7 linked regions of the Ovis aries genome follow. The protein of the gene in region 7 interacts with the protein of the main gene of each other region in a pairwise test. Links are inferred from orthologs where the notes say so. Each region holds a gene or a part of one and is shown on either strand. Other genes may lie near its edges.

Evidence for each region.
Region 1: the proteins of THAP1 (region 7) and PHF1 interact in binary tests that used the Homo sapiens proteins (3 or more experiments, as listed by UniProt). The two-hybrid records come from large-scale screens. The link is inferred for Ovis aries from reciprocal best matches to the Homo sapiens genes THAP1 and PHF1.
Region 2: the proteins of THAP1 (region 7) and BYSL interact in binary tests that used the Homo sapiens proteins (3 or more experiments, as listed by UniProt). The two-hybrid records come from large-scale screens. The link is inferred for Ovis aries from reciprocal best matches to the Homo sapiens genes THAP1 and BYSL.
Region 3: the proteins of THAP1 (region 7) and METTL13 interact in binary tests that used the Homo sapiens proteins (3 or more experiments, as listed by UniProt). The two-hybrid records come from large-scale screens. The link is inferred for Ovis aries from reciprocal best matches to the Homo sapiens genes THAP1 and METTL13.
Region 4: the proteins of THAP1 (region 7) and ZNF385C interact in a two-hybrid assay, tested with the Homo sapiens proteins (3 studies listed by BioGRID). The two-hybrid records come from large-scale screens. The link is inferred for Ovis aries from reciprocal best matches to the Homo sapiens genes THAP1 and ZNF385C.
Region 5: the proteins of THAP1 (region 7) and FAM133A interact in binary tests that used the Homo sapiens proteins (3 or more experiments, as listed by UniProt). The two-hybrid records come from large-scale screens. The link is inferred for Ovis aries from reciprocal best matches to the Homo sapiens genes THAP1 and FAM133A.
Region 6: the proteins of THAP1 (region 7) and AP2B1 interact in binary tests that used the Homo sapiens proteins (3 or more experiments, as listed by UniProt). The two-hybrid records come from large-scale screens. The link is inferred for Ovis aries from reciprocal best matches to the Homo sapiens genes THAP1 and AP2B1.

What each region holds. Positions count from the first base shown.
Region 1 is NC_056073.1:7,741,556-7,745,528, reverse strand, and holds the start of PHF1 (PHD finger protein 1), read right to left. Parts: upstream 2,801-3,973; 5' UTR 2,285-2,800; intron 1,550-2,284; 5' UTR 1,534-1,549; coding exon 1,375-1,533; intron 1,292-1,374; coding exon 1,210-1,291; intron 1,112-1,209; coding exon 1,016-1,111; intron 233-1,015; coding exon 132-232; intron 38-131; coding exon 1-37. UniProt on the Homo sapiens protein: Polycomb group (PcG) that specifically binds histone H3 trimethylated at 'Lys-36' (H3K36me3) and recruits the PRC2 complex. Involved in DNA damage response and is recruited at double-strand breaks (DSBs).
Region 2 is NC_056073.1:15,721,276-15,725,285, reverse strand, and holds the start of BYSL (bystin), read right to left. Parts: upstream 2,801-4,010; 5' UTR 2,642-2,800; intron 2,459-2,641; 5' UTR 2,455-2,458; coding exon 2,187-2,454; intron 1-2,186. Other genes in the region: MED20 (mediator of RNA polymerase II transcription subunit 20), read left to right, coding at 2,997-3,010. UniProt on the Homo sapiens protein: Required for processing of 20S pre-rRNA precursor and biogenesis of 40S ribosomal subunits. May be required for trophinin-dependent regulation of cell adhesion during implantation of human embryos.
Region 3 is NC_056065.1:38,471,624-38,475,123, reverse strand, and holds part of METTL13 (eEF1A lysine and N-terminal methyltransferase), read right to left. Parts: intron 1,905-3,500; coding exon 1,737-1,904; intron 446-1,736; coding exon 230-445; intron 1-229. UniProt on the Homo sapiens protein: Dual methyltransferase that catalyzes methylation of elongation factor 1-alpha (EEF1A1 and EEF1A2) at two different positions, and is therefore involved in the regulation of mRNA translation.
Region 4 is NC_056064.1:41,946,880-41,951,147, reverse strand, and holds the start of ZNF385C (zinc finger protein 385C), read left to right. Parts: upstream 1-1,468; 5' UTR 1,469-1,602; coding exon 1,603-1,636; intron 1,637-4,268.
Region 5 is NC_056080.1:140,888,211-140,892,449, forward strand, and holds the start of FAM133A (protein FAM133A), read right to left. Parts: upstream 2,801-4,239; 5' UTR 2,391-2,800; exon of another isoform or gene 2,240-2,390; intron 2,085-2,239; exon of another isoform or gene 1,863-2,084; intron 1,597-1,862; 5' UTR 1,527-1,596; intron 1-1,526.
Region 6 is NC_056064.1:14,480,627-14,484,606, forward strand, and holds the start of AP2B1 (AP-2 complex subunit beta), read right to left. Parts: upstream 2,801-3,980; 5' UTR 2,561-2,800; exon of another isoform or gene 1,570-2,560; intron 1-1,569. UniProt on the Homo sapiens protein: Component of the adaptor protein complex 2 (AP-2). Adaptor protein complexes function in protein transport via transport vesicles in different membrane traffic pathways.
Region 7 is NC_056079.1:36,885,326-36,888,352, forward strand, and holds part of THAP1 (THAP domain-containing protein 1), read right to left. Parts: intron 1,581-3,027; coding exon 1,385-1,580; intron 425-1,384; coding exon 50-424; 3' UTR 1-49. UniProt on the Homo sapiens protein: DNA-binding transcription regulator that regulates endothelial cell proliferation and G1/S cell-cycle progression.

The sequences.
Region 1 (3,973 bases), on a different chromosome or scaffold from region 7:
CCCGGGCGTAGGGGCCCTTCTTCAGTGCACCCCCCCTCTGCAGGTGGAACAGACAGGTGGCCTCAGGGGTGGAGGAAGGAAGGGTCCAGGAGAGGCTGAGAGTTGGAGGTCCCACAGGGAGGGGCCCTTACCTTGGTGGCGATGGCAAAGACGCACTGGCGGCAGACCCAGGATGCGCCCTCTCCCTCTCCAGGGGCTGGAGCCCTTGGAACGTGGCAGTCCTGGTGATAAGCTGAATAATGAGAATATTGACAGTAGACCACTTATTGCATTGCGTACCTGTGCGCGCTAGGTATTGGGACAAGAGTCTTAACCCCATCTCATTTTGTTCTTGACCATGGTCCTGGTAAGGTGGGTGTATTATCTTTATTTTAAAAGCAGGTGAGGCAGCTGTGATTCTTAGAAGTTTAGGGACTTGCCCAAGGTCAAATGGTTAGAAAAAGCCGTACTGGAACTACCCTCTGCCTGCATCTGGGACTTCCTTGATAGCTCAGTTGGTAAAGAACACCTGCAATGCAGGAGACCCTGGTTCAACTTCTGGGTCAGGAAGATCCCCTGGAAAAGGTATAGGCTACACACTCCAGTATTCTTGTGCTTGGGCTTCCCTTGTGGCTCAGCTAGTAAAAATTCTGCCTGCAATGTGGGGAACCTGGGTTTGATCCCTGGGTGGGGAAGATTCCCTCGAAAAGGGAAAGACTACCCACTCTAGTATCCTGGCCTGGAGAATTCCATGGACTGTACTTTTCATGGGGTAGCAAAGAGTCAGACACAACTGAGAGACTTTTGCTCACTCACACCCTCTGCCCGCAGAGCTCATGCATCCCATCCCAAGGCTGCCCCTCCCTGTGCTGGCAGGGAGTGAGGTTACAGGCTTGTGGAGACTGCTCAGAGCAGTGGCTTGGGGACTCAGACCAGGACAGACAGTATAAGGACCAGAGCTGGAGAGAAGGATCAGAAGCACCCTGGTAGACCTAGGGCAAGCTAGACCATTCAGGTGTCCTGCCCTCTCACCCACCATGGCGACACTTCTCACAGCTGACCAGCCGGTTCCCAGGGACCACAGTCTCAGAGCGACATACACAGCAGAGGAGTTCCTCCCCAGGGAGGGCCGCTGTGAGAGAACAGAGTGTCAGAGGGCCTGTCCTCCAGCCCCTTTCTGTCCCCCATGCCAGGTTTGTTTTCCCTTGGATCCATTCTCAGGCTTCTCACCAGGGCTAATGTCTTTCCATAGAACCAGAAACTGGGAATCATCCTCAAACTGAACCAAACACACCTCCCGAGCACTGTCCACCTGGAATGGGTGAGCACAGAAGATGGAACAGGAATCAGACTAGATAAGGGGAATGAGAAAAGGTGACAGGTCAGAGGTCATACCTTTTTGATGGTCCCCAAGTATAGCAGCCCATCTGTCCATCTGGCCAGCACATCTTGACCCTCCCAAAGTCGAGGCCGGGGGCCTGAGGTGGGAGCAGGAGAAGCTGGGTCCCAAAGTGGGGGGGCACCAGAGCGGCTCAGCCGGGGGGGCTGTGCCATTGCATCCTGGGGGGGCCTAGTTAGAAGTGAGATGGTAGGAGAAAGTTACCAATATTGAGGAACTAGCCCCCATTTTCTTTGCCTGTTTTTCTGTCAAAGGCTTGAGCAGGTGTGCCCAGCCTCCATTTCCCTGAGACACCTGGGTAGGAAACCCCTGGGCACCCCTTGGGCCTTCCTGACTCCAGCTCTCCCAACAGTCACCAGTGGTTCTCTTCTCCCCACCGTCCCCCCACCCCACCAACCTAGTTCTCTAGTTTCCCAGCTGCCAGAGCTCCCCTGGGACGTTGTATCCCGGCCTTGAGATTTTAGCAAAAAGGATGGTTGCAGAGGCAAAGGTTGCCACTCAGTTTCTACTGTCACCTTCTACCGCTGTTTATAGAGGTATTACAATTGGGGTGCTGTTTCCCAGAGACGTGTTTTGGGAGCTTTTTCTGGAGATGTTTTCGAGTGGAAAAGGTTGCCTCCGGGGCCCCCGTGTCTCATTCAGAACAATCATCTTGGTGCTAGGTTATGTCAGGTCACCCTCAAATTCGGGGCTCCCTGCCCCCGGGTTAGAGAACTTCCCTGAGTGCCCCGGGAGGGGGGCGTGTCCCAGTCCGGGTCTCTTCTCCCCAGGACGGCGAGTGGGAGAGGGGGCTTGAGTCGGCCCAGCCCGACCCGCCGCCCGGGCGGCGCGGCTCTCCCGCCCGCGCCCTGCGCGCCGACCCCCGGCTCCCTGCCCCCCCACGGGCGCCTCCCGCCGCCTCCTTACCAGTGACAGCTGGGGCCGCCGGGAGCCGGGCAGAGGCAGACGTGGGAGACTGAGGTGAAACCCCCGCGCGGGGAGGGCACGGCTGGGCGTCGGGGGGGCGTGCAGGCAGAGACCGGGGGGTCCCCAGGCCCAGCCCCTCCGTCCCGGCGGCTCTGGGGCGTATGACGCAGCAGCCAAAGCAGCGGCAGCGGCAGGAGGAGGCGGCGGGGGGAAGGAGGGGAGGGGAGGGGAGGGACAAACCTGCTCGGGGGGAGGGTGGAGGGAGGGGAGGGCGGGGGGAAGGAGGAGCCGGGGGGGCGGGCACCTCCTCACCCCACCTCCCTCACCGCCAGCGGGCCTGGAGGGCGCGGAGCGAGTGGGAGCGTCTCCGTGGATGGGGCGGGCGGGCTCGCGGACCCGGCGGGAGAGGGAATCCCCGCAGCCCCTTCCTCCGGAGAGAGGCCTGCCCTCGGGGCAGGAGGGAATCCCCCGCTAGGCCGCCGGCCGGGCCGCCGCCCCGCGCCACATCCGTTAACTGCCCCCGGCCCCGCAGGGTCACTCCGGGCCCCGCCCCGCGCTCCAGTTCACGACCCCGCCCTCCATTCACCCGTCCCATGGCCCCCGCCCCGCCCCGGCCCCGCGGGCTCCGCCTCCTCCCGCCTTTGCCCCGGCCTCCGCGGGCTCCGCCTCCTCCCGCCTTTGCCCCGGCCCCGCCCCCCCGGAGTTAGATGCCCCCACCCCGCCCACTGTCGCCGCGCCTCTGCGCACGCGCGACCCCTCCCGCGCGCGCGGCACCTGGGAAGACCCAGCCCTCTGACGGGGCGGCGGCCCTCGGCGCTTGGCGCGAGGGAGTTAGCCTATGCGCCCCGCCCCGCGCGGCCGAGGCGGGTGCACCGACTAGAAGAGCTCGGACCGAGGCGGTGACGCCGCCGAGAGCCAGCCAATGGCGGCGGGCGGAGCTAGCCCCGGCGGTTCGAAAGGGAAGGAAAAGAGCGGGAGGAGAGAGCCCGCAGCTTGTGGGCGGACGCGCCGGCCCCGCCCCGGACTCCCACCTTTCCGCACTCAAGAGTTCCTGCCCCGGGCGAGGGTGGCCTGTGCCGGAGGAAGCGGAACTAGTGACTGGACACCTGGTGCGCGCAACCCCCCGGACGTGGATAGGGACGGGAGCAGGGCGGGGGCCACCCTGACTCTGGAGTGACCCGTTAGAAAAGCCGGAGCCCTGTCCCCGTGAGACACAGACGTTTGGCAGAATGGAAGAGCCACAGCTCCCCCCTTATTGGACAACCGCTAATAAAACCTTTATTTAAAAACAACAAAAAATTCTCTTCTTTATTTGATAGGCCCAGGTATCAGCGCCCACTACCCCCCTCCCCCCCCCCCCGTGTGTCTCACACATACACACACACAATCTAGATCCATCTTCATTTCTTGTTGGCCTGGGCTGTGCCAATAACACACTGGTTCACCTGCAGACAGGGGATTTAGACAAAACAGGATAAAAAAATTTTCAGAGCAACCAAAAGTTTTCCCCAAATCACCTCTGAACCCTCAGTGTTAGGGCTGCCCTCAGAGTCCTGAAATAAGGGCTCTGAAAGCAGGTTCAGGCTGGTCTCAGTTCTCCCGCGCCCACTGTCCACACTAGATCTGGAAGAGGAGGAAAGGCCAGAGAAAGGACAGAAGCCCCTCACAGGAGCAGAGAAAGGCACTTCT
Region 2 (4,010 bases), on a different chromosome or scaffold from region 7:
TCAGCTCTTCGCATCAGGTGGCCAAAGTACTGGAGCTTCAGCTTCAGCACCAGTCCTTCCAGTGAATATTCAGGACTGATCTCTTTTAGAACTAGCTGGTTTGACCCGGATGGAGAGAAGAGGGCAAAGGGAAAGGAGCAGGAGAGGTCAGACTGACAACAGGTACAGATCATATAGGTCTCTGTAGATCAGGCAATCCTGAGTTGCTGAGTGGAGAGTAGACTGTGGCAGATACGGGATTCTCGGTAAGAGGCTACTGCAGTCACCCAGGTGAGAGATCACTGTGGTTTGAACAGGATGGTGTTCCAAGATGGTGCCAACTGATCTGATTCTGGATATATTTTTAAGGCAGAGTCAACAGGACTTCCTAATTGATTGGATATGGAGCGAGAAAGAGACAAGTCTAGAGTTTTCTGCCTGGAGCAAATGGAAGGACATCATGTCATTAATTGAGATGAAGCAGACTGGGAGTGGAGCAGGTTTGGCAAGATGGTCAGGATTTCTGTTCTGGACATGCTAAATCTGAGATGTTTCTTAGACTTCAAATTGGAGAAGCTAAAGAGAGAGCTGAAATATAAGACTTTGGGTTTCATGGAAGAGATCGAGGCTGGAATATGAACTTGGAAGCAGTTACCAAACAGACAGTATTTAAACCTCAACCCTGATGACAGCACCAGGGAAGTCATCAGAGGTGAAGAGACTAGCTCCAAGGATGTAATGCTGTGGCACTACAGGAAGAGGCTGGCAACAAACGAGAAGTCAGCAAAGGGAGCTCCCTGGTGGCCTAGTGTAAGGATTCTGGGCTTTCACTGCTGGGGCTCAGGGTTCAACCCCTGGTAGGGGAACTGAGATCCCACCAGCAGGCGTCGGAAGCGGGAGAATAGGAGCCAGCAAAGGATACTGAGAGGTGTGTGCGTGTACTCAGTCGTGTCTGACTCTTTGTGACCCTGTGGACTTTTCCTGACTATAGCCTGTCAGGCTCCCCTGTCCATGGGATTCTCCAGGTAAGAATACTGGAGTGGGTTGCCATTTCCTTCTCCAGGGGATCTTCCTGGCTCAGGGATTGAACCAACATCTCTTGCATTGGCAGGTGGGTTCCACCACCTGGGAAGCCCACTGAGGTGAAAAACTAGCAAAACAGGGATGTGATGTCTTAGAAGCGGAGTAAAGATACTGTAGCAAGGAGGCTAGTGTTTGTGAACGCTGCTGCTGCTAAGTCGCTTCAGTCGTGTCTGACTCTGTGCGACCCCACAGACGGCAGCCCACCAGGCTCCCCCACCCCTGGGATTCTCCAGGCAAAAACACTGGACTGGGTTGCCATTTGCTTGTCCAATGCATGAAAGTGAAAAGTGAAAGTGAAGTCGCTCAGCCGTGTCCGACTCTTAGAGACCCCATGGACTGCAGCCCACCAGGCTCCTCCGTCCATGGGATTTTCCAGGCAAGAGTACTGGAGTGGGCTGTCATTGCCTTCTCCGTTTGTGAATGCTGCTCACAGACAAATGAAAGATGAGTGTTGAGAAATGGATTAAGCAACTTGGAGGTCAACACTCTCAGAGTAATAACGAGAAAAATGACCATCTTTTAAATAATCTCGCTCCCTTTCTAGTCCTGAAACAATATTGTTCTTTGTGCTCAGAGCACTCCCTACTTTTCAGTTCTCAGCACAACGGTCATGCAACCTGGGAAACCTGACTCCCAAGACTAATGCTATTGTCAGAGAAGCTATACTTTATCACGAGTGCATTATTCTAATTGCTTACTTAATTCTTTCTCTCGGGCTACACTGGAAGATCCTGACGTTAGGTATACCTTTACCCTGTTTACAGTTTTTTATCTAAACCATCTAAACTCCTAGCACGGCGGGATGTGCGTAGTAGACATTCCATGATTACTTACAAAACACGTAAATAAATGCCAGGAGAACTTAGCGGCGTGAGTAACCACTTCCTGCTGGCCTAACCTCGGTGATGCCTATAAGAGTGCCACTCTAAGGAATGGGCGTGGAGGGCTCCGGCAACCCTCAATCTGCCCCAGAGCTGGGTCTCCCAACCCCATTACCTTTGCCAAGGGCCTCAGTTTTTTGTTGTTGTTGTTTTTTAATTCCAAGTTATTCCCCTGCCAGACACCTTTCAGCCGTCCGCCCCAGCTACCCACCCTCCTCCTCGTACCCCATCCCCCCCACTCACCCAGCCGCGTGGTGCGCTCCCGCGGCACCGCGGGCCTGTCCCCGCTCCCATGCTCGGCCTCGAGCTCCTCTTGCTGCTGCCGCGCTTGCTGCAAAATCCGTCGGGTCAGCCGGGGCCCCACGTACTCTTCCTCCTCGTCTCCGGTTCCGCGACCCCGCCGTTTTTCTCGGGCTCCTGCCCGCACCGCGTCACCAGCCAGGATCTGCTCGGCCAGCGGCGCATGCTTCTCCTGACCCCCGGCCGAGCGGGCCGCCTTGAACTTGGGCATTTTTCTAGAAAACCAAGCCGTGAAGTTTCCCACGTGGGTATGGAGGAAAAAAAGGCCCCGAGTGCGCTTGCGCGGTAAACACCCAGCGCCCGAGAGCCCACCGGAGCTCACAGCGCCCCCTCGCGTCTGGAGGCCGGGTGTGCCAGAAGCCCCGTCCCACCCCCCCCCCCCCCCAAAAAGAGCTCACGGGTCCTGGAGCTGGGTCCTCCCGAATTTAACGTTGTCTTCTCTAAGTGGTTGTAGTCCGAGATACACTTTCCTAGTTTCATGGATCTGGGTCCAGGGTGCCCAGGCGAATGGGAATTCCCTGACCGGCGAACCAGGGGATCGGGGGCGGGGCGGAGTCGGGCAGTGACCTCACCGAAGGACCCAGACACGCCCTTCCTCGTGGGCGTGTCGACTGGACGCTGTGTTTTTACGTAAGTTCCGGAGCGCCTGCCTCCATTGGAGCTCGCTTTAGCGAGGTGGTTTCTCCTCTTGTGGGCTGCTGGAGCACAGCGCATTTCACTTGTTTGATCCTCCCATCTTCCTGGCACGACACCATGGGAGTGACTTGGTAGGACTTCAGAGGACTTTGTGGGGCGGGGTTTGGGGACTTGAAGGCCCCTGGAGCCTCGAATATACCCGGGAGGAGGATCCCGACCAGGGTCCACAGTCCCCCGGAAGATGAGCAAAATGTCCTCGGATTGTGTAAGTGAGGGGGCCACCGCGAGGGCTGCAGAATCTGCAGGCCCCTTTCCTCGGAGATTCGCCCCTTCTTCCTGGAAGGCGGCAGGAAAAAGGGTTTAAGAACCCGTTAATGATCGTGTACCTCCTTCCTTTTTTCTTGATACAATTTCTTGACCGTGAAGCCTGGGGTAGAACTTTAGGGTTGAAAGTAGTATGTCGGGACTCGGACCCGTCTGCAGGCAGGGCTTGGATGGGTAGGGGATAGGCAACAAGGAGATAGTATCTTTTTTAGGTTTTTGCCTGCCCCTCCTTACAGCCACTAAATGCAGTTAGATCAGCATGTGTCTGGTTCTAGTTTGGCCTTTGTAAGATCTTGAGTCTGGAGGGAAAAAAGGAGCTGTTGGGAATTAGGAGATAGGAATTACAGGCACATCACCTCTTCAGGGTCTGTTTCCTATTCTGTTTAATTACCTGGTTGGTTTAGTTTTTATGGACTTATTTTAACACGTTATAAGTCAGTGTGGCAGGGAAAGGTATGGGCTTAATTCTCTTCGAGTCATTTAGTTCCAAAATGCTAGATTTCAGAGCTTTAAAATATATATATCTTGAGCATCTCTCCCAGAGAGGGCTTAGAGGCCAGGTTATCTGAAGGCAATGGCTCTAGGCTTCTCATGTAAGAGCCTGTGGGAATTCCTGGTAGCCCAGGTCTTGCAGATTTGTCAGTGACTGCACATTTGCTTCCTGAAGCTGGCATCATGAGCCTCCTTCAAAGTCCTGTAGTGTAAGAAGGGTGCGAAGAATGGGAATGAAAAGTTTGCTAGGGTCTTTCATGACAGTCCAGTGGTTAACATTCCACGCTTCCACTGCAGGAGGCACCTTCTACTTCA
Region 3 (3,500 bases), on a different chromosome or scaffold from region 7:
GTCCCTGGGATTCTCCAGGCAAGAACACTGGAGTGGGTTGCCATTTCCTTCTCTAAGACACTCTATATTTACTGAATAAATATGTCAATAAATGAGGGAACAAATGAACAGGTGAAAGACTGGGATGATGCTCATATCTCTTAGAGATGAATTCTACAGCCCCTTGCAGGCCTGACAACCTTGGATCAATCTTTCCTCAACACCCCTCCAAATTCTCCAAAAGCAGTACCTTCTTCTTCTGCCAGGCGGGTTATAAAGTCCAGACCATCTGCAATGTGGACCTTCATCCGGTCACTCTGGGAAAAGCCGAACCACTGGGTGGCCACTTCCAACATAGAGGGGTCGATCTCCACAGCATGGATGCAGGACTTTGGGAAATGATCGTGGATAAAGAGAGGGAGGCTGCCCCCGCCCAGGCCTACCACCAACAGTGCCAGTGGGGTCTCTGTAATAAAGAATAAAAGCATTATGTTACCATCTGCTCACTGTAAAGTTCTGCACCAGCCTTAGAGAGGACAAAAGAGACAGTCGGATTGTTCACTCTAGCCAGAAGATACAAGATTTAGAGACTTGGCCTCCCTTGTCTCTTTCTAGAAATTCAGGAGTCAATTTAATATATGTAAATTCAACCCTGGCCTCATGATCCTTCCTTTACTAGTTCCAGAAGAGCAATCAGTATATTATTATTATGGTTCCTTAAACATCGCAAAGCCCTCAGCGGACATTACAGCAATAATCCCCACCATCAGCATCATTAAACCCCTCTAGGAAACAGAAGGGACAATGGGCAACATCTTGTCCATGATCACAGGGCATGTAGATGTGATGCCCTCTGCCCAGCTTCCAACTCAAAGGCCACAGCTACCTTTAATAAGACACACCCAACAAGTGAAGGAAGTCCATCCAAGTTCCAGAAGTCACAGGAAAACAAAGGCCCAGATCCTACACTCAAGTTCAGAGAAACAGGGGATGAAAGAAAATGTGAAACCAGAAAGAATCGCCAAAGAGAGAAACCCTGAGGATTAAATGTAACAACTGAGAATCCACTGACACACATCAGCACCAAGATAGACCACAAGTATAGGGTATTTCAGCAGGACATACTCAGGGACTTCGGGGAGAAGACAGCTACAGGAGTGGACAGAAACAAATATTTTTGCTCCTGTGGTTAGATCCCAACCTATTATCAGCGATAAGGCTATGACTGTACTACCTATACTATGGATTTTTTTAAAAGCAGAAATTCAAGAAAGAATTACATCTGGCACTCAAAGAATGCATCACTGAAAAGCCAGAAATTTTCCTAAAGCACACAGGTATTTCTCTGGAGATATGATTTTTAAATGTTCCATCTGGATACAGGGTATATGGATATGCAAAAATTCATCAAGCTGAACAATTTAAGATCCATTCACTTTATAGATTTCACTGAAGATATTTTATACATTAATTTTTAAAACTGTAAATTTTACACTAATTTTTAAATAAATGCATAGAAGAAAAAAATATAGATATCAGCATGTATGTCTATTTCAAGATTACAATTTGAGTTTGTGGGAAAAGTTACTTGGATGTTCATGAATGATGCAGAAAGACAGTTGGGAATAAGAAAGACATGAATATGTGCGCATCTGTTGGTCTGTAATCATGGTTCTTAAGCTGCAAGGCAGCCAACTCTGATGACATCTGTAATCTTACACATTTCCTACTGTGGAAGGCTGTGGCGACCTCCTCACCTAGGAGCCGCTCCGGGTTTTTCAGCAGCGCAAGGCCGGCGATCATGGCTTTGTGGTGTTCACAGCACAGGTAACTCTTATCAATGGACTGCCCCGGGGCTGCAGGCAGGTCCTCTGGGGTATCAGCAGGCCGATGCTTCTTCCTGTCCTTTTTCCGTTTCTTCTGGGCTAGATCAGAGACACAGACGAATGAGGTTGTGTGAGGTACGTCACTCCTTGGAAAGTAAGGCACACGAGCAGCGGTGTGCTGTAGCTGGCTGATTGAGACTCGGGAGTCAATGGTGAAATATGCAGGCATTCTGTGAACTGGCTGACATGCTGGTAGCTTGAAATCTGTCCGTGGTGGCCATTTTCATGTACAGAAATTAGGGAACAGTACAATTCATGGCTTTTTCTCCCCAAAGAGCTGGTGGTCCAACATTTAACATGTGCCAGGGTGTCAGAAAAGGGAAGTGGCAAAGAAAACACCAAAAAACTGATAACGCTGGGAATACTTGAGTGAGGGGTGCTAGTACTTCTTTAGGAAACATAAAGCCGCTCACAGAGTTTATTCATGAGTTTTTTTAAGCAGAAAAGAACTTAAAGTTACTAATTACTGCCTCTGTGCCAATTGTTGTACCAGGACTCTTACTCCTGTAGCTTTTATAACAACCCTCTTATTCCAATTCTCAGCAGATAGAAAATCTGGCAGTGCAGCTAGGATTTGAATGTGGGACTGCCTGTCTCCAACACCTACCATCTTTCAATTGCATTACACAGATGGTAATGCACACCACCCCAGTGGACAAGGACATCACAAATGTTCACAGAAGGGGAAAATCCTACGGAAGGTCCCTTTACATTTCCTCTCCTTACTCTCTCAACTGCACCAGGACAGAGTGAACAGCTGGTTTTGCCGTTTTCCTAGGGACCAGCTGCACTCCACAGCAGCATTGGGCAGCGATGTGTGAGGGGCAGCCTGATTTAACATAACAATCAGAAAGGTTAAATCACTTTTTAACACATTCTCCTTCTTCTCACCAATACTCCCTTAGGAAAATCATTCCCATGAAAATTAAGGATGGTAAGAAGACTAGGATCTTGACAACAATGGGGAAAAAAAACTTGAAACCCAAATTGGAGGGGAATATCTTCTTTGAAGCAATTTTACTGATTTTTTGGTGAGACGAAGCTGAACCAACCTGTACCTCAAGTGACCCAATGACAGCTCGGGAACCCAGCAAACACAGGTGCACTTGACCAGGGGACACCCCTCAACAGAAAACTGTCCTGCAGACAGTCACCTGACCCTGAGCTCTGGGCACACCCAGGACCTCATGAGGTTCTGAACTCTCTCTTTTCACTTTCCTTCCAGATGGCCTTGCCAACACAACAGCATGGTCATCAGGCAAAAGAAACTTCCAAGAATCAGAAAAGCCAATTTCAAATTCCAAGCCTGAGTCTCTGGGCCTCAAAAGGAAAGTTATACTGGAGAGGTGGAGGGGAGGAGCGTTCACTTCTACTCTATGCATCTGATTTGTGAACTGATTACAATAAGCAAGTATTGCTTTTGAAGTATAGATATATACATGGGAGAAAACAGCAGGCGAAACAAACGATTGCTTTCCCCCTTAGGGGGTGTTTCTGAGGAGCACATGAGAGATCACTTAAAAGGGATCCTAGAGAACATGGTCTGGATCTACCCTGTCCAAGCCTGTAACCCTGGCTACCTGTGTCTATTTACATTTAATTATAAGTTCATTGGAAATAAATAAGATTAAAGAT
Region 4 (4,268 bases), on a different chromosome or scaffold from region 7:
CACTTTAATGTGGCTTGACTCTTGGAGTGGGAATGAATTCATGCATTCATTCCACAACCCTTTATAGAGCATTTATAGAGCTTAGCACTGGTGCTTCCGATACCTGGAAAATAAAAGCCCTTTCCCCACGGGGGAGACAGGTAAGTGTCTAGGCAAAAGCATTGCATCTTGGGAGATATGCTTAAAGGGAAAATAACCAGGGCCTAGGATAAAGATAATAATAACCTGGCTGGGGAAAGGGGGTCCTGGGGAGGTGATAGTGGAGTTGAGGCCTGAGTGGCAAGGAAAAGGCCTTGTGAAGATCAGGGGAGAGTTCCAGGCAGAGGGAACAGCAGAGACCTCAAGACAGGAGTGAGTTGGTAGACGTGAGAACCAGGAAGCAGTGCCAGGAGCTAGCAAGTGAGACATCACCAGGGCTCCCCATGGCAAGACCTCCTCCCTGGAAGGCCTGTTTCACACGAAGGCTGGCCGGAGCATGAGGTGGGAAGAAGGGCACTGGTCCATATTCTTTAATACAAGAGCCATTCCTATCGCCTTTCTTTGAGACTCTCCAGTAATGGAATGATGGCAGGTTCTGTTAGGAGGTTATGCCATCAGCCCCTGCCTCCTGCCCTCCTCTGCTTGGCTTCATTCTCCTGTCTCATACCCCAATGTGGGCCAGAGCCAGTGCACTGATTCCCTGGGAAGAATCAGAAATGATCCCCAGCCACATACACCAATGATGTTTCCCCAACAGGCCCACTGATTTAATCCCCTGACCTGTGGACAACCCATTTGCTCCTGACTTCATGTGTGACTTTGAGCCAGTTACTTAACATCCCCAATCTTTCATCTCCTGATCTGTAAAATGAGGATCAAACCAGTCTGGGGCAAGTTGTTATGAGGATTGAGTGCCATCCCTCTTGGCACTCAGGAGATACTCCATGAATGTCAGCTTCCTTATTCTCCCTGAGCTTCCCCCACAAAGAGGGGCTGGTTTACAAAAGGGTAGGGAAGGGTTCCCAGGTGGTGCTAGTGGTAAAGAACACGCTTGCCAAAGCAGGAGACACCGGTTTGATCCCTGGGTCAGGAAGAGCCCCCTGGAGGGCATGGCAACCCACTCCAGTATTCTTGCTTGGAAAATTCCATGAACAGAGGAGCCTGGTGGGTTACAGTCCATAGGGTGGCAAAGAAGCGACTTAGCATGCACAGGCAGGGAAGGTCACAGCAGGCCAGTGCGGGGTGGCCAGTTTGGGGTTCCCTCCCCCCAACTCTGGGACCCTTTGGAAGGTGAGGGGCACTCAGGACTGGCCAGCCAAGGGTAGGGAGGCTACTCACCGATGGGTCCAGCCCTGCCGCCAGAAGAGCCCCTGCGTCTCCCCTGTGTGCTGCCCGGGGAGCCCCAGGGCCAGGCCACTTTCCCGACCCGCTCTTCTGCGCTCCGCTCCGGGCGGCGCGGCTCCTGGCACCTGCTCCCCGTGGGCCGCCCAGGGGCGGGCTCCGGGGACGCGGCGGCTGCCCCGAGACGCGCGGGCCCGGGACTCATCCGCCGCGCACCTCCGGGAGCCAGGAGCCGGGAGCCGCCGAGAATCCGGACCGCCCCTGGCGGCGGCGGACGACTGGATGCGGCCCCGCTCGGGTCGGAAGCGCCCTTCAGGTAGGCGCGGGCGCGGGCCGTGGGACCGCACTCCCGGCTCCCCATCCCGGACCGACGCGCCGCTGGGACTGAGCACCCAAGGGGGCCCGCGCGGGGTGGGGGTGTAGGTGGCTCCGTAGGGCTGGTGGCAGCAGCGAGGACCCTACCCTGCCTTGTGTTTTGGGAAGGTGGGCGACAAGAATCACGAGGCCGAGAGGGGGGACAAGGGTGATGGCCAGAACTTTTAGCTCCCAGGAAGTAGGGGAAGGGAGGCTGGCGACCATAGGCCAGGGACAGCGAGACTCATCCCGAGAAGGGACAATTCTCCGCAGACAGGGGGATCGACCACAGAACCTACCTTTTTTGTCTAAGTTCTTTAGAGACTCCAAAAATCAACTCCCACCCCATCAGCCCCTGAGATAGAACAGAAAGGAAGGGGTGGGGGATGGGAGACCTATTGTCTTTTGGGGGTGGGTGCAGAGAGTACACTCATCCCCCCCACTCCGTCACCCCCATCTCCACTATTCACAGTCATTGGAGGCCGCCTCGCCTGCCCCTCCTCCTTCAAGCAGAATGCCTCCTCTTCTGTCAGGGTCAGAGGTAGAGGCTGGCCCTCCTGGCCTTTGTGGGAGGCAGGATTCCGCCTCACCCGCCCCTCCCCACCCACCCCCACCCGCGCCGACAAATCTCAAACAGCCCCGGACCTCTCAGCCCTCCTCCCTCTGGCTCTCTCTCTCTCTCTCTCTGACTCATTCTCTCAGCCCCATCTTGGAAGTGCTGACCCTGGGGCCATCACGATGGGGAGCCTTGTTTGGGGGAGCTAGTGTTCAGGCTTTTGGGGAGTTGGGCCGGGAGAGCAAGCAGTGGATGAGGCTGAACTGTGCCAGGGTCCTGGGCAGGGGCTTTGGTGCGGGTTGGGGGGCTCTCCTGTACAAATCAGGTTCCTAGGCCTTGCCTGGAAGCAGAGGTCAGAAGAGGGGACACTGAGGCTAATCCCCCCGCCCCCACCTTAGAGGCAGCTGTTCTGTGTTACCACTGTGGGCCCTTCGAGGAGGGATGCAGCTGAGATAACAAGAAAGACTTCCTTCCGGAGGGTGGCCAGAGGATCTTTCAGGGGAGAATCAGTGTCCAGGAGAGGCAGCCCTTATCTCTAGGGTGTTCAGAGGAAGAAGGCCCTCTGGGACTCCCAGCCAATAGGGGGTGAGGATAGCCTGGGGGGATGGTGACCTCACCTCTGGACCATTGCTCTTGTCACCTCTCATGCCCTCTCTCTTGCTTCCTTGGAGCCAGAGTGTTGACTTTCAGCACCACTTAGCCAGCTCACTCCTGAAAACCCCAGCACCCAGCCGTCCCCAGGGAAAGGTGACAGGCTTCATCTCTCATCACTTCGGATGGGACAACAGACATGACTGCCTTGGTTTGTCCAGTGGATCCCTCCCACCCCCACCCACAGCAGCCCAGCCTCAGGGCCTCCTGCCTGGCAAAGTGGGGACGTGTGAGCTGGGGGTGGGAATGGCTGCCCCCAGTCGGGCCATCCCACTCCTCTAGGTGGGAGTCTCTGACTCCTTTGGGGAGTCTTGGGTATGACCATGGGTGACCCCAGCTCTCTGGGCCATCCCCTGGGGGTGCCGCTCTGTGGGGGCTGCACAGTGAACACCCTGCAAGGTGTCAGCCTTGGGAGAGCAGAGTGCTTGGTGGTGGCTCCTTGGGGGCCTGTGGGGGGCAGCCAGGCCCAGGAGGGCTCACACTCCACAGGACAAGAACAGATGAGGCCTCTCTTCTTCCAGACACGGCCCCATACTCCCGCCTGTGACCCTGGGAGTGATGGGATGGGGGCTGCCAGGCTGTGTACCCCTTCCCCCTGCATCATAGGATGAGGCCTGTCGTTTCGATTGTGAGCCTCAGTTTCCTCATCTGTAGAGCCTCACAGGGTTGCTCTGAGGGTTAACAGAGGTGATGTCTGTCCAGTGCCCGGAAGGCAATGGGCACTCGCCACAGGGCAGTTCTTTCTCTGTCCCCACCCCACCTTCCTCTGGCTGCTGAAACAGACAAATACAGCTTGGCGTCCCCCCTCCACCCCAACCTTAGAGGCAGCTGCTCCCCGTGGCCACTACAGCACCGCCTGCAAGGGACCTAAGAGATTAGCCCAGCCCAATCCGCTCTCCTTGAAGACAGGGAACTGAAGCCCAGAAGGGCAGGGCTGGCCCGACTTTGGCCAGCCAGCCAGGCTCCCTTCTCAGAGGCAGCGCAGGGGACCTGGCTCGGGGATGCGAAGGGTAGATATTGGCAGACCTGGGGGAAAATACCAAAGTGTAACTGGGCTCATTAAGGATTAGGTGAGGGAGCCCTTCATGCCCTGCCAAAGGCTGGGGACAGGCCTGGAACCCTCCTCTTCTGTTAACCCTTTGCAAAGACAGGTCTTCCCCAAGAACCCCCTTCCCCAGGATGCAACCACTTCCCGCTCTGCACTTGCGGCCTCCGAAGAATTTCTCTCTAGCCATATTTGGGTAGTGCAGTGCCCAAGGATGCCACTGACACCTGGGGCCCCGAAGTCCACTGACACTCAGCAAGAAGGGGTGGAAACGGGCTCTGGAGCCATATCTGAGTGCTCCCTTCCCCCAAGCCCCCTCTACCTCCGTGAGGACAGACACAT
Region 5 (4,239 bases), on a different chromosome or scaffold from region 7:
AGAGGGAGAGAGTGGGATGATTTGGGAGAATGGCATTGAAACATGTATAATATCATATAAGAAATGAATTGCCAGTCTAGGTTCGATGCAGGATACAGGATGCTTGGGGTTGGTGTGCTGGGATGACCCAGAGAAATGGTATGGGGAGGGAGGTGGGAGGGGGGATTCAGGATTGGGAACACATGTACACCTGTGGTGGATTCATGTTGATGTATGGCAAAACCAATACAGTATTGTAAAGTAAAATAAAAAAATTTAAAAAATTAAAAAAGAACCAAAATACTAATTCTTGTTGGTACAAAACTTAACATGTATATTAAACCATTAAAGTACTATAAAATATAACTTCCTTCATTAACAAAATGTGTCCATCATTTTAAGGGAAAATAATAATTTATAGAACAATATTTACAGCATAGCTTCATTGATTTAAATCATTGTTTCTATAGTATATATTTTAATTAAAATTATAAAAATGAAAGGATATGCACCCAGTAAGTTTTAGTGAGACTTATATCATCTTCCTCTACCACATGTGCCTGGCACATGGCAGGCACAAAAATATAATAGTTGAATGACTAAATAAATGAACTGATGCATTGTTGGTATAATTGCAAATTGTGATAATTTTTTCTGGAGAGAAGTTTTGCACTATGTATCAAAGAGTAAAATGATCAGGCAGTTTATTTCAGGACTCTCATTTCTAGGAATTCATCATATGGCTAATTTTTACAAGTGCATAGAGTAGGTATCTGAGATAACTATTTTCTAACAGGAAAAATACGTCTACTAGTAGAGAGGTAGTATAAGTAGCTGCTGTACAATAGGAATCTGGTTAAACTACGGGAAATATTTTCATGGAATATGCATCTATTTAAAAATGAGATGTTCAACCATTTACTGTGAAAATATAGCCACAATTAATTGATAAATAAGCAGATTACAAAACACAATATGATGTCACATAGATAAAACAGCATGTGTAAACAGGCATATGTATATATTTACAAAGAAAATTCTGGAAGAAAATGCATCAAAATTCTAACAGTGGTTATCATTTGATTGTGTTTGTATTACCATTGAAATTTTCTATGCTGTATTTTTCCTTACAATACTTACATACTTTGACAATCAGGAGTAAATAATAAAAGTAAATTCATTTATAAAATAGAAATAAAAGTGTTTCCTAACTTAAAAAATACAACTAAATAAGCACAAATTCTGTAATAAAAAGGAAAGATAAGAGGTAATCTAACTTTAATACTTTTCCTCATTTGAAATGAATAATTCATCATATTTTATATTTTAATTTGTTACTTGTAGTCTATGAGCAAGTTCAGAAAAGTGAATGTGATTAATTAGGTTATTTTCTACATTAGTATTCCAAATCACCTCTGTGGATTTTTCTGCTTCCATGGAACTAACAAGATATCTTCCAAATAAAAGGCTACATCTTGTGAATTTTTATTTAAATATAGATAGGTAATTCTTGTCATTCATAAAAATGGGCTAAATATGTTCCTTACCTTTCAATGAAAAGTAAACACTGGTCTTTTTGGTTGTACCAAGGGAGTCGTTCTGTTGCAGAAAAGAATCCTGTAAATAAAAATAACAGATACCTGTTTTTAAACTTCATTTTGCAAAAGTGTATTCATCTATTACTGAACCTGTAAATCATACTTCAGTATGGCTAGAATTGTACAATGTTAGAAGGAAACTGGTGGCAGATGCCATTGTAAAGTACACCCTGACAGAGGATGCAGTTTCATCAACACATTCCCCCTCCCATCCTGCTATTCGTGAAATTAAAAGCTGCTGCCACAAAAGTATAGAATAAACCATCTGCTTTTAAATACTACTACCTAACATTTGAATGCCCGTTTATCCTTTTTATCTACAAGATTGTTAAAAGCATGGAGAAAGACTACGTGGCAAATCACCAGCAAGGACAGGGTCTATGACATGTCAGATTAAAAAGAGAAATACAGTAAAAAAAAATGGTGTAACTGACTCACGGCAACATGGGTTCGCAAACCTTGTAGATGGATATAAAACAGGCTTGCCAAACATCACAAACAGCACTTATTAAAGCTGCTACGTGGAATTCAATATGCCTGCTTTCTAGCCCCTCCCCCCTTCGCCAATAAACGACTCCCCCTTTTTACCCAGTGTAAAAATACATGCTCATAAGACATTCAGATAAAAGAAAGAGAATTTAAAAAGAAATCCATAATCATACTATCCAATGATGCCATTTGGAGCATTTTCTTCCAATTTTTTAAGAACAGCTTTTTGTCACGAGGCCCCTGACAAACCAAATGGGAATTAAGGATGAGTGGATGGGAGCGTACTCCTCTTCCCTTGTTAGGAACCATGACTAGTATTTTTACCTCATATCTAAGCTTTTTTTTTTTTTTTTGAAATTATAAAACTATAAAGACAGAATTTTAAGGGGAAAAAAGTCTTCAGTGGTGTGTGCCTCAGCAACCAAGGAGCGACTGGAAAGGAAGGCGGAGCCTAGAGGCGGCGGTGTGCTTGCGCACTTATTGGGCTGATGCATTGTCAATCAAGGTCAATCAAGTTTGTCTAGCAAATGAGGTGCGAGCTAAAGGCACACTGGGAACTAAAGGAACTGGAGGTCTGACTGCGAGGGGAGGGGGCTCAAGATGTAAGCAGTGAAGAGATCTCGGGCTCTCGCAGTGCGATATTCAGCTGCGTCACACCTCAGTCCGCCGCAGCTGCAGGTCAGAGAGGCCTTGCCTCCACCACTGTCGCCCAGGCCTCCGCTGCCGCCGCCACCTCCGGTGCAGTCACCTCGGCCCAGCCGCGCCCCGCCCAGCGCTCCTGCTGCCTTCACCGCTGCCACTTCCTCAGCCCCGGCTTCCGCCGCCACCACCCAAGCATCCGTGAGTCATTTTCTACCCATCTCTGGGCACGCGGTAGTGACCACCTAAGAGGTTTGCAGACTTGCAGAATGGCAGAAGCGGATCCTAACAGGGTCTCGGAACCTGCCGCCCAGGGGGTGGATGGAGAGATGGTAGCTATCTCGTCTAGCGATTCTGGGGACGAATCTGACAGCAGCAGCTGTAGCAGCAGCAGTAGTTGCAGTAGCAGCAGTGGCCGCAGCCCATTCTATAGACGTATAAGTGTACCTGGGCCCTCCAGAAGTGTGAGGCGGGCTCCGTCAGGTAGAAGTTTCGTGGATCAGCTGCCTCGGGCGGTTAGAAATCGTGTGCAGGCTCTCAGAAATATTCAAGACGAATGTGACAAGGTAGACGCCCTGTTCTTAAAGGCAGTTCATGATCTCGAACGAAAATATGCCGAACTCAATAGGGCTCTGTACAACCGGCGATTCCAAATCATCAATGCAGAATATGAGCCCACGGAAGAAAAATGTGAATGGAATTCGGAGGATGAGGTGTTCAGCAGCGATGAAGAGATGCAGGAAGACTCTAGTGAGATGCCTGCTTTAGAGAGTGAGGAAGAAGAGGATGACCTGGAAGCAAAACCTGAGGTCAAGGCTGAAGAAAATGTAACACCAAAAGAAAATTCCGAAGCAAAGACTGAAGAAAAAGCACAGTCCAAAGATGCTCTGGAGGCCAGGCCTGAAGTAAAAGAAGATCCAAAATAAGCCCTCCAGGCAAAGGCAGAAGATAAAGGGCAGGCTAAAGCAGCAGAGGCTAAGGCAAGGACTCCAGGAAAAGAGGCTCCAAAAAGAGTTCCTGAGGTCACGCCTAAAGATAGAGCTCTTAAAAGAGCTCGAAAAGGAAAGCCTAAAAGATAAGATCCTAAAGGCATTCCTGACTATTGGCTGACTGTGTTCAAGAATGTTGACAAGCTGGGGCCCATGATTCAGAAGTATGATGAGCCCATTCTGAACTTCTGTCTGATGTTAGCCTGAAGTTTTAAAAACCCAGCAGGCCTGTAAGTTACACATTTGAATTTTGCTTTCTACCCAATCCATACTTCAAGAATGAGGTGCTGACCAAGAGATATATAATAAAGTCAAAGCCAGATCACAATGATCCCTTCTTCTCTTGGGACTGGGAAATCCAAGATTGCAAAGGCTGTAAGATTGGAGAAGAGGAAAGGATGTTACAATGACAACCACCCAGAGTTGCACAGCAGCTACTGGACAAGTTGAAACCCAGCCAAGAGTGGTTCCTGATGCATCATTCTTCAATATCTTTAGCCCTCCTGAGATTCCTACTATCGGAAAGCTTGAACCACGAGAAGATG
Region 6 (3,980 bases), on a different chromosome or scaffold from region 7:
TTTACCAGGTCAAACTAGACAAGTCATCCATCGGCTGCTCTACCGGCTTGAGGTATGGCCTCAGGACATCGTTTTAAAACATAAATGAGGCTGACAGAGTCAAATGCACAATTTCTCTAACTTTCCTAGCCCAGAGTGTGATGTCACTGCATTTCAGAAAAGGCCTCTCTGTACAGGATTACACATCTAGATTTAACATAACCTAGTTTCTACTAAATATAGGCTGTGACAGTTTTCCCTTCTCAACTATCCCTCCTTCCTTCTGGTGCCCCTAAAGAGAATAAGGCCAGAAAAAAATTAATAGGGGTCTTAACTCCGAATGGCTCTCTGGGAAATAGCAGCTAATTTAGAGTTGGTGAGGCCAGTAAATCCACTCTCTTCACGTGAAGTTGGATTTTACACAGCTGGTGCCCGTAGGGAAAAAGTGAACAGAATTAAACCAAATTATAAAGTGGACAGGTCATCTTAGTAATCTTTCATTACAAGCATAAGGATGAGAAGTGCTAATTACACATTTCAATAACACATCTTCATGTATCATTTATTGCATACAAAATTACAACAGATAACTCATTACAACAGACATACCTATCATTCCCATTTAACTACAAAGTACTCTGCTAATATCATACAGTAAGAAAAAAGGTCTTAAGTTTCACATCCAATTCTTAATTGAAATAAACTCTGGAAAACTTAACGCCTGGAGAGAGAGAAGGAAGAAAAGAAAATGTGTCCTTCCTAATTTGTTACTTGTTCAGCTTGATTCAGAACTGTGCCTTAAATGTAATATTTTAAAACACAGGTAGAAAGCTGAGCACCGAAGAATTGATGCTTTTGAATTGTGGTGTTGGAGAAGACTCTTGAGAGTCGCTTGAACTACAAGGAGATCCAACCAGTCCATTCTAAAGGAGATTAGTCCTGAACATTCACTAGAAGGACTGATGGTGAAGCTGAAACTCCAATACTTTGGCCACCTGATGCAAAGAGCTGACTCACTGGAAAAGACCCTGATGCTGGGAAAGACTGAAGGCAGGAGGAGAAGGGGACAACAGAGGATGAGATAGCTGGATGGCATCACTGACTCAACGGACATGAGTTTGAGTAAACTTCGGGAGTTGGTGATGGACAGGGAGGCCTGGAGTGCTGCGGTCTATGGGGTGGCAAAGAGTCAGACACGACTGAGTAACTGAACTGACTAAAAATACAGGTGTGTTTAAAGAAGGAAAAAAAAAGATGGAAGAACCAGGTTTTCTTGAGTCTCTTAAGTCACAGAATGTTGTTTAGTGGTTAAGTCACATCCTACTGTTTTGCAGCTCCATGGACTGAAGCCTGCTAGGTTTCTCTGTCCATAGGATTTCCCAGGAAGGGACACTGCGGTGGCCTGCCATTGCCTTCTGCAGGGGATCTTCCCAAGCCAGGGACCAAACCCACGCCTACTGCAGGCGAGCCACCAGGGAAGCCCTCACAGAATGTTAGCTTTATACTAATTTTACCATCCAGCTTTCAGTGAAGCTATCTGCAGAACACCCTCTACTTTCGGCTTCTTTGGGAGTTTAAACTGTCAAATACCTGTAAACAGTTCTCACGTTCCCACCAGGCTTAGTCACCACTGGCAAAGTGTTACACGTTTTCTTGCACAGCTGCATCTCCTTCATCTGCTGCTTTCTATTATTACTTTGTAAGTGTACCCTGAAGCTAAGCAACACAAGTATACCAGGAAGGTGATTAATAATTTAAATTGTTCCTCACTGAGACCACTTTCTTGGTCATTCTATCTTTTCTAAACTTACTGCGTTTTTTTTTTTTACTTTCTCTTTAAACTACAAGGATTGTTAACAGTGTTTTGGCATTTTTAAAACCTTTAAAAGTGAAAAGTTTAATGAAGCAGCCACATTTTATTCACACCGCTTCATAATGGAGTTTAAAAAAGAGTCTGCCCCCAAATAGAAGAGTGCTGTTAAAAACTAACAGCATGAATAAACTCTTTGGATTAAAAAAAAAATGGAATTAACAGGAAGTTCCAGTTTCTTTACCTCTGTCTAATCCACAGCCTTTCTCAAACCAGACCGTTCCTTCTAAGACCCCGAAGAAAAAACTCCGGGCTAACATTTACTCTCAAGAGCTTCCCCCTCTCTCATATCGGGTCAATTCTCTGGGTTTTTCTTCCCTATCTTCGGAGTCAGGAATTCCTCTTCTTTCCCGAGGTGGTAAAAATTCTACGGCTATGTTCCTCCATTACGAAGCAGAGAGGCGTCTCTTAACCTCAAATGACGGGCGACGGCGAGGTTTACCCATCTAGGAGCAAAGCTCTGGGGAACCCCTTTTCCCTTTCCTGAGCTGAGCATGTCCTACCTAGCCTCTCAGAGAACGACGCCAAACCGGGAAGAAGCAAGGTTCTCTCCTTGGCCTCCGGTCTCCGCCAGCCACACCCCTGGCCTCTGACCCTCTTAACCCCCCGACTTCGAACATATCTTTCCCCCAATACCCCCCAATTCCCACCCCGAGGATTCCCTCGCCCCGCCCCAGCGGTGGAGTCCTTTTCTCCAACCCTCTTCCTCACAACGGTCACACCCGACGGCTCACTCCATCTTCAACGGTCACGGTCCTCGGATTTCCTCTCCTCCGCCTGTCTCCAACCAAGTCTGGGGATCCCCCATCCCCATCAAAAAGGGACACACCCCAGAGGTAGCCGCCTACAACTCACCGTAGGCAAGGGCGGGGGTGGCAGCAGCGGCCAGAGAGCACGGCCCGAGCGATGTTGTAATGGTTTCCTGCACGTCACGACTCCTTCTCCAGGTCTAAGCCACTGCGCAAAACCCACTTTGCCCGGTACAAAGATGGTGGACAGGAAACTCTTACGTCAGAGAGCCTCGCCGTGTGATGTCATCCAGACGCGCGAGAGAACGAGAAAGGAGGGACTACTCTCTGTCGCCTTGGAGACGGAAAAATTTTGCGCGGTGTGGTAGAGATCTGAGATCTAGGCTTCGGAGGAAATTCATCTGAAAGAATCTAGTAAACAAGCTGACATTCTCTGGATTTGTTTCCTCACACAAGACCTCTCTAAAAACTTACACAGAGTCAGTGAAATGCCTGTTGCTTTCTTTAAAAAACAACAAAACCCAGCTAATTCCTTGGGCAATTAAAATACACTGACAGTGGTGATCCAGCCCAGGATTATACAAGGGCAGTGGAACTGGAGGAGACTGGTGCAAGGAAAAAAGGTTGAGACGGTCTCAAATCTATGTGTGAATCCATTTGAATCCGAATCCCTGCCCTGAATGTGACTAGGAAAGTTACTTGTCTCTTCAACTTCAGTCTTCTTACTTGTGAAATAAAGACGATGATAATAACTCTTACCAGTTTATGAAGCTTAAACCGGATTAGGTTGGTAAGAAGCCTAGCATGTAATAGGTATGCTTTGTTAATTGTTTTAGTTAAGTCACAGCTGACTCTTGTGACCTCATGGACTGTAGCCCACCAGGCTCCTCTGTCCATGTGACTTCCTAGGCAAGCATACTGGGGTGGTTTGTCATTTCCTTCTCCAAGGGATCTTCCCCACCCATGGACTGAACCCGTGTCTATTGCATTGGCAGGCGAGTTCTTTACCAATGAGCCACCAGGAAAACCTACGAGTTTGCTTACGCGAAAGAAGTCCCTTTCAGAAACCAAGACCTAGAAATCTCTGTATCTTCCCCTCAAAACTAAAACTTCCCACATAAAACTGCTCTAAGTAAAAATAATAAAAAGTCTTTAATCAAGAAAGAAGAAGAATGTGAAGAGCCTAAGGCAGAAGCTGGGAAACCAAAATGCAAAGGGGACTGAGAAGCAGTCAGAGAGGTAGAAGGAAAAGAAGGCAGTCATAATGATTTAGAATGTTTTTAGAGTTCTATGAAAGTATAGAACTGAATATCAAAACTGTATCTCTGAGGCCTACCCCCCGCCTCCCCCAAATTTGTTGAATGACTAAATGTATGAGTGAG
Region 7 (3,027 bases):
GAGGGTAGGTGGTATTGCCCCATGAAAAACCAATACAAATCTCACGTTTTCACGCGGGGACTTCGACTATCTCGAAGTAGTCATTGGGGAGAATGACGTAGCCCCTCTCGGAGGCGCCGTCCTTCTCCTTCTGGAAGTGCACCACCTCCTTCAGCTTCTCCAGCTGCCTCTCCTGTCTGCGGCACCGCTGCTGTGCAGTCTTGAGCTTCTTCCGGAGCTTCTCCACTTGCTGCTCCAGCTGGTGGATCCTCTTCCGCTGGTGCATGGTGTCCTCCACGGTGTAGTTGTGGTCACAGAAGACGGAGAGGTTATCGGGGGTCTGAAGAGGAGGCATGAGCAACCCGATCGCAGCATCAACCTGGGAAATGGGGGGCGTTAAAGGAGGCGGCGGGGGCTGTTCCTGTGGCTCCAGGAGATCTTCCTTCTGGAACAAAGACGCAGAGCGTGTTTGAGCTTCATTATTAAAAGTAACAGATTAAAAGAACACACTAAATTCTGCACCTGTGCAATATAAGAATGTTAGACTTAGTTCTGCCTCCTTGGCATAGAAACAGTCTAAAATGAAAAGAAGTTTTAATTTTCCTTTTTTACCTGAAGTAGAAATGGGATGCAAAAAAGACAAAATGATTAATCGGATCTAATTAAACACTAGCACTGAAAACTGAGGGGGAAAATACTCTGAAAGTTAACTATCATCATAAAGGAAAATCAAAACTTATCAACATATAAGCAGGAACACCAGGATTCCCTGGTGGCTCAGACAGTAAAGCATCTGCCTGCAATGCGGGAGACCTGGGTTCGATTCCTGGGTAGGGAAGATCCCCTGGAGAAGGAAATGGCAATCCACTCCAGCACTCTTGCCTGGAAAATCCCATGGACGGAGAAGCCTGATAGGCTACAGTCCATGGGGTCGCGAAGAGTCGGACACTGAGCCACTTCACTTTCACTTTCAAGCAGGAACATGGGGCTTTCCAGGTGGTGCTAGTGGTAAAGAACCTGCTTGCTTACGCAGGAGATCTAAGAGACGTGGGTTCAATCCTTGGGTCAGGAAGATCCCCTGGAGAAGGAAATGGCAACCCACTCCTGGGTTGCAGAATCCCATGGATAGAGGATCCTGGTGGGCTACATAAACACACAAGCAGGAATACAGACTGATCTTAAAGTAAGTTAAAAGCTAGGCTGAAGTGTCTTAGTGTGAGAATATTTAACTTTACTAAACACTCTGTATTTTTTGAAGTATTTTGCTGTGAACAGGGGTCATTTACAAGGGATGGGTTCCAGGTAACATTTATATTCTTAACACTACTGTGGCTTTTCCAGATTTTCCATTGAACACATTAACTTTATGGAAAGAGACCCGCCCAGTACTTTACACGCCCCTCACCTTGTCGTGCGGCTCGGTACACAGAAATATCGTGGGGACAGCATCCTCTTTCAGCAGCTTGTTGTTGCACTCCCGCTTAAAGCAGTCCGGGGTAAAGTGGTCCGAGCAGATGCTGCTGTACTTGGTGGGCTTAAAGTTTTTCCTTCTGACAGCTGCCTCCCATTTCTTACAAAGACTGGGTCGAGTAAGAGGAAACCTAAGAAGATGAAATGATTCCGTTTTCTAGCCTTACTCAGAAACAAAAAGGCACACCCAGGCGTTCCTGCTTAGAGAAGAATTAGCTTACAACCACCGGTGTTCACACGCCACAGGCGTTTGCTTAACACACCTGCTCCCACTAATCCTTTTTCGACAGTTTTTCAGGTGTACCCTTATCACCCTAGATGTTACGGATGTACTTGTGTGGACATAGAGAACAAGCCTGTGGTTGCCAAGGAGGAGGGGAGTGGGGAAGAGCGGGACTGAGAGTTTGGAGTTACATACGAGAAGGGATAAACAACAAGGTCCTACCGTGTAGCACAGTGAACCGTAGTCAAAATCCTGAGATAAACCCAAATGGAAAAGAACATGGGAAAAAAATGCAGAGCTGTGTATAACTGAATCACTTTGGTGTACAGCAGAAACCAACGAAACACTGTAAATCAACTATACCTAAAGTAAACTTTTTAAAAAATGGACTTGTTTTAAAATCCTGTAACTAAAGTGAGCATCACTAGTGTGAAAAATAAGTCACCCCTCCTAGCATGGTATTTTTTTTTTTAAACCAGGATTTCTTATAAGAATCTTATTGATCACAAAGCAGTTGTAAGAATGTCAGATATAATGATGTATACAATCTAAATACGTCAGGCTCATTAGGATTTACATTATGCAAAAACATACTTATTAAAAGGCAGCCACGTGGACAGATGCACGCAGCTGGCAGAGCAGGTGATAGGAGGGTAGGTTCAAGGGCCCATGTGATGTTTTCCCCTCTTTTGCAGTAAATAACCTTCGCAAACAGACACATCTAAGATACAAGGGTAAACCATATAGCTCCACCATCCACCTATCTCAGTCTTTAATGCTTAACTTTTTATACTGAAGACACTAAAATCTGGGGTAAAATACACATGGTATAGACTGAATTTGTATTATTATTATTATTTTTTTTACCAGTGATCCTCTGTGTACTGTAAAACAAAACTGCACGTTTATAACTATGTACCGAGACAAAGAAGCTTTTTGTTTTCTTGAGAATCATCTTGACAAATATGAATCAAACTGTAGCCAAATCATAATGATAAGGAAAAAAAGTATTCATTTTAATTTACCTAATTGACTGAAATACATCCATTAGGCCCAGATAAAGAGAGATACGAAGCTTTTAAACTTATTTTATTTTTCCAGGTAAAAGATTCAGTGAGTTGGGGGGGATTGAAAAAAAGCCAAAAAAGGGTGTTTCGACTCTGTGTCCCAGTTTCTCTACGAAGTGAGATACGCTCGAGCCTGACTCTGCTATGGTCGTGGAGCCCTAATCTACCCTTCTCTTTGCCCAGAACATCTGTTCCCACTACCATGTAGAAGCTGAGAAAGACTCCTAGAATGTTCCTGCTGGAAGTGCCTCTAGAAGTAGACACAGCAGCAACTGCTGGGAAACTCAA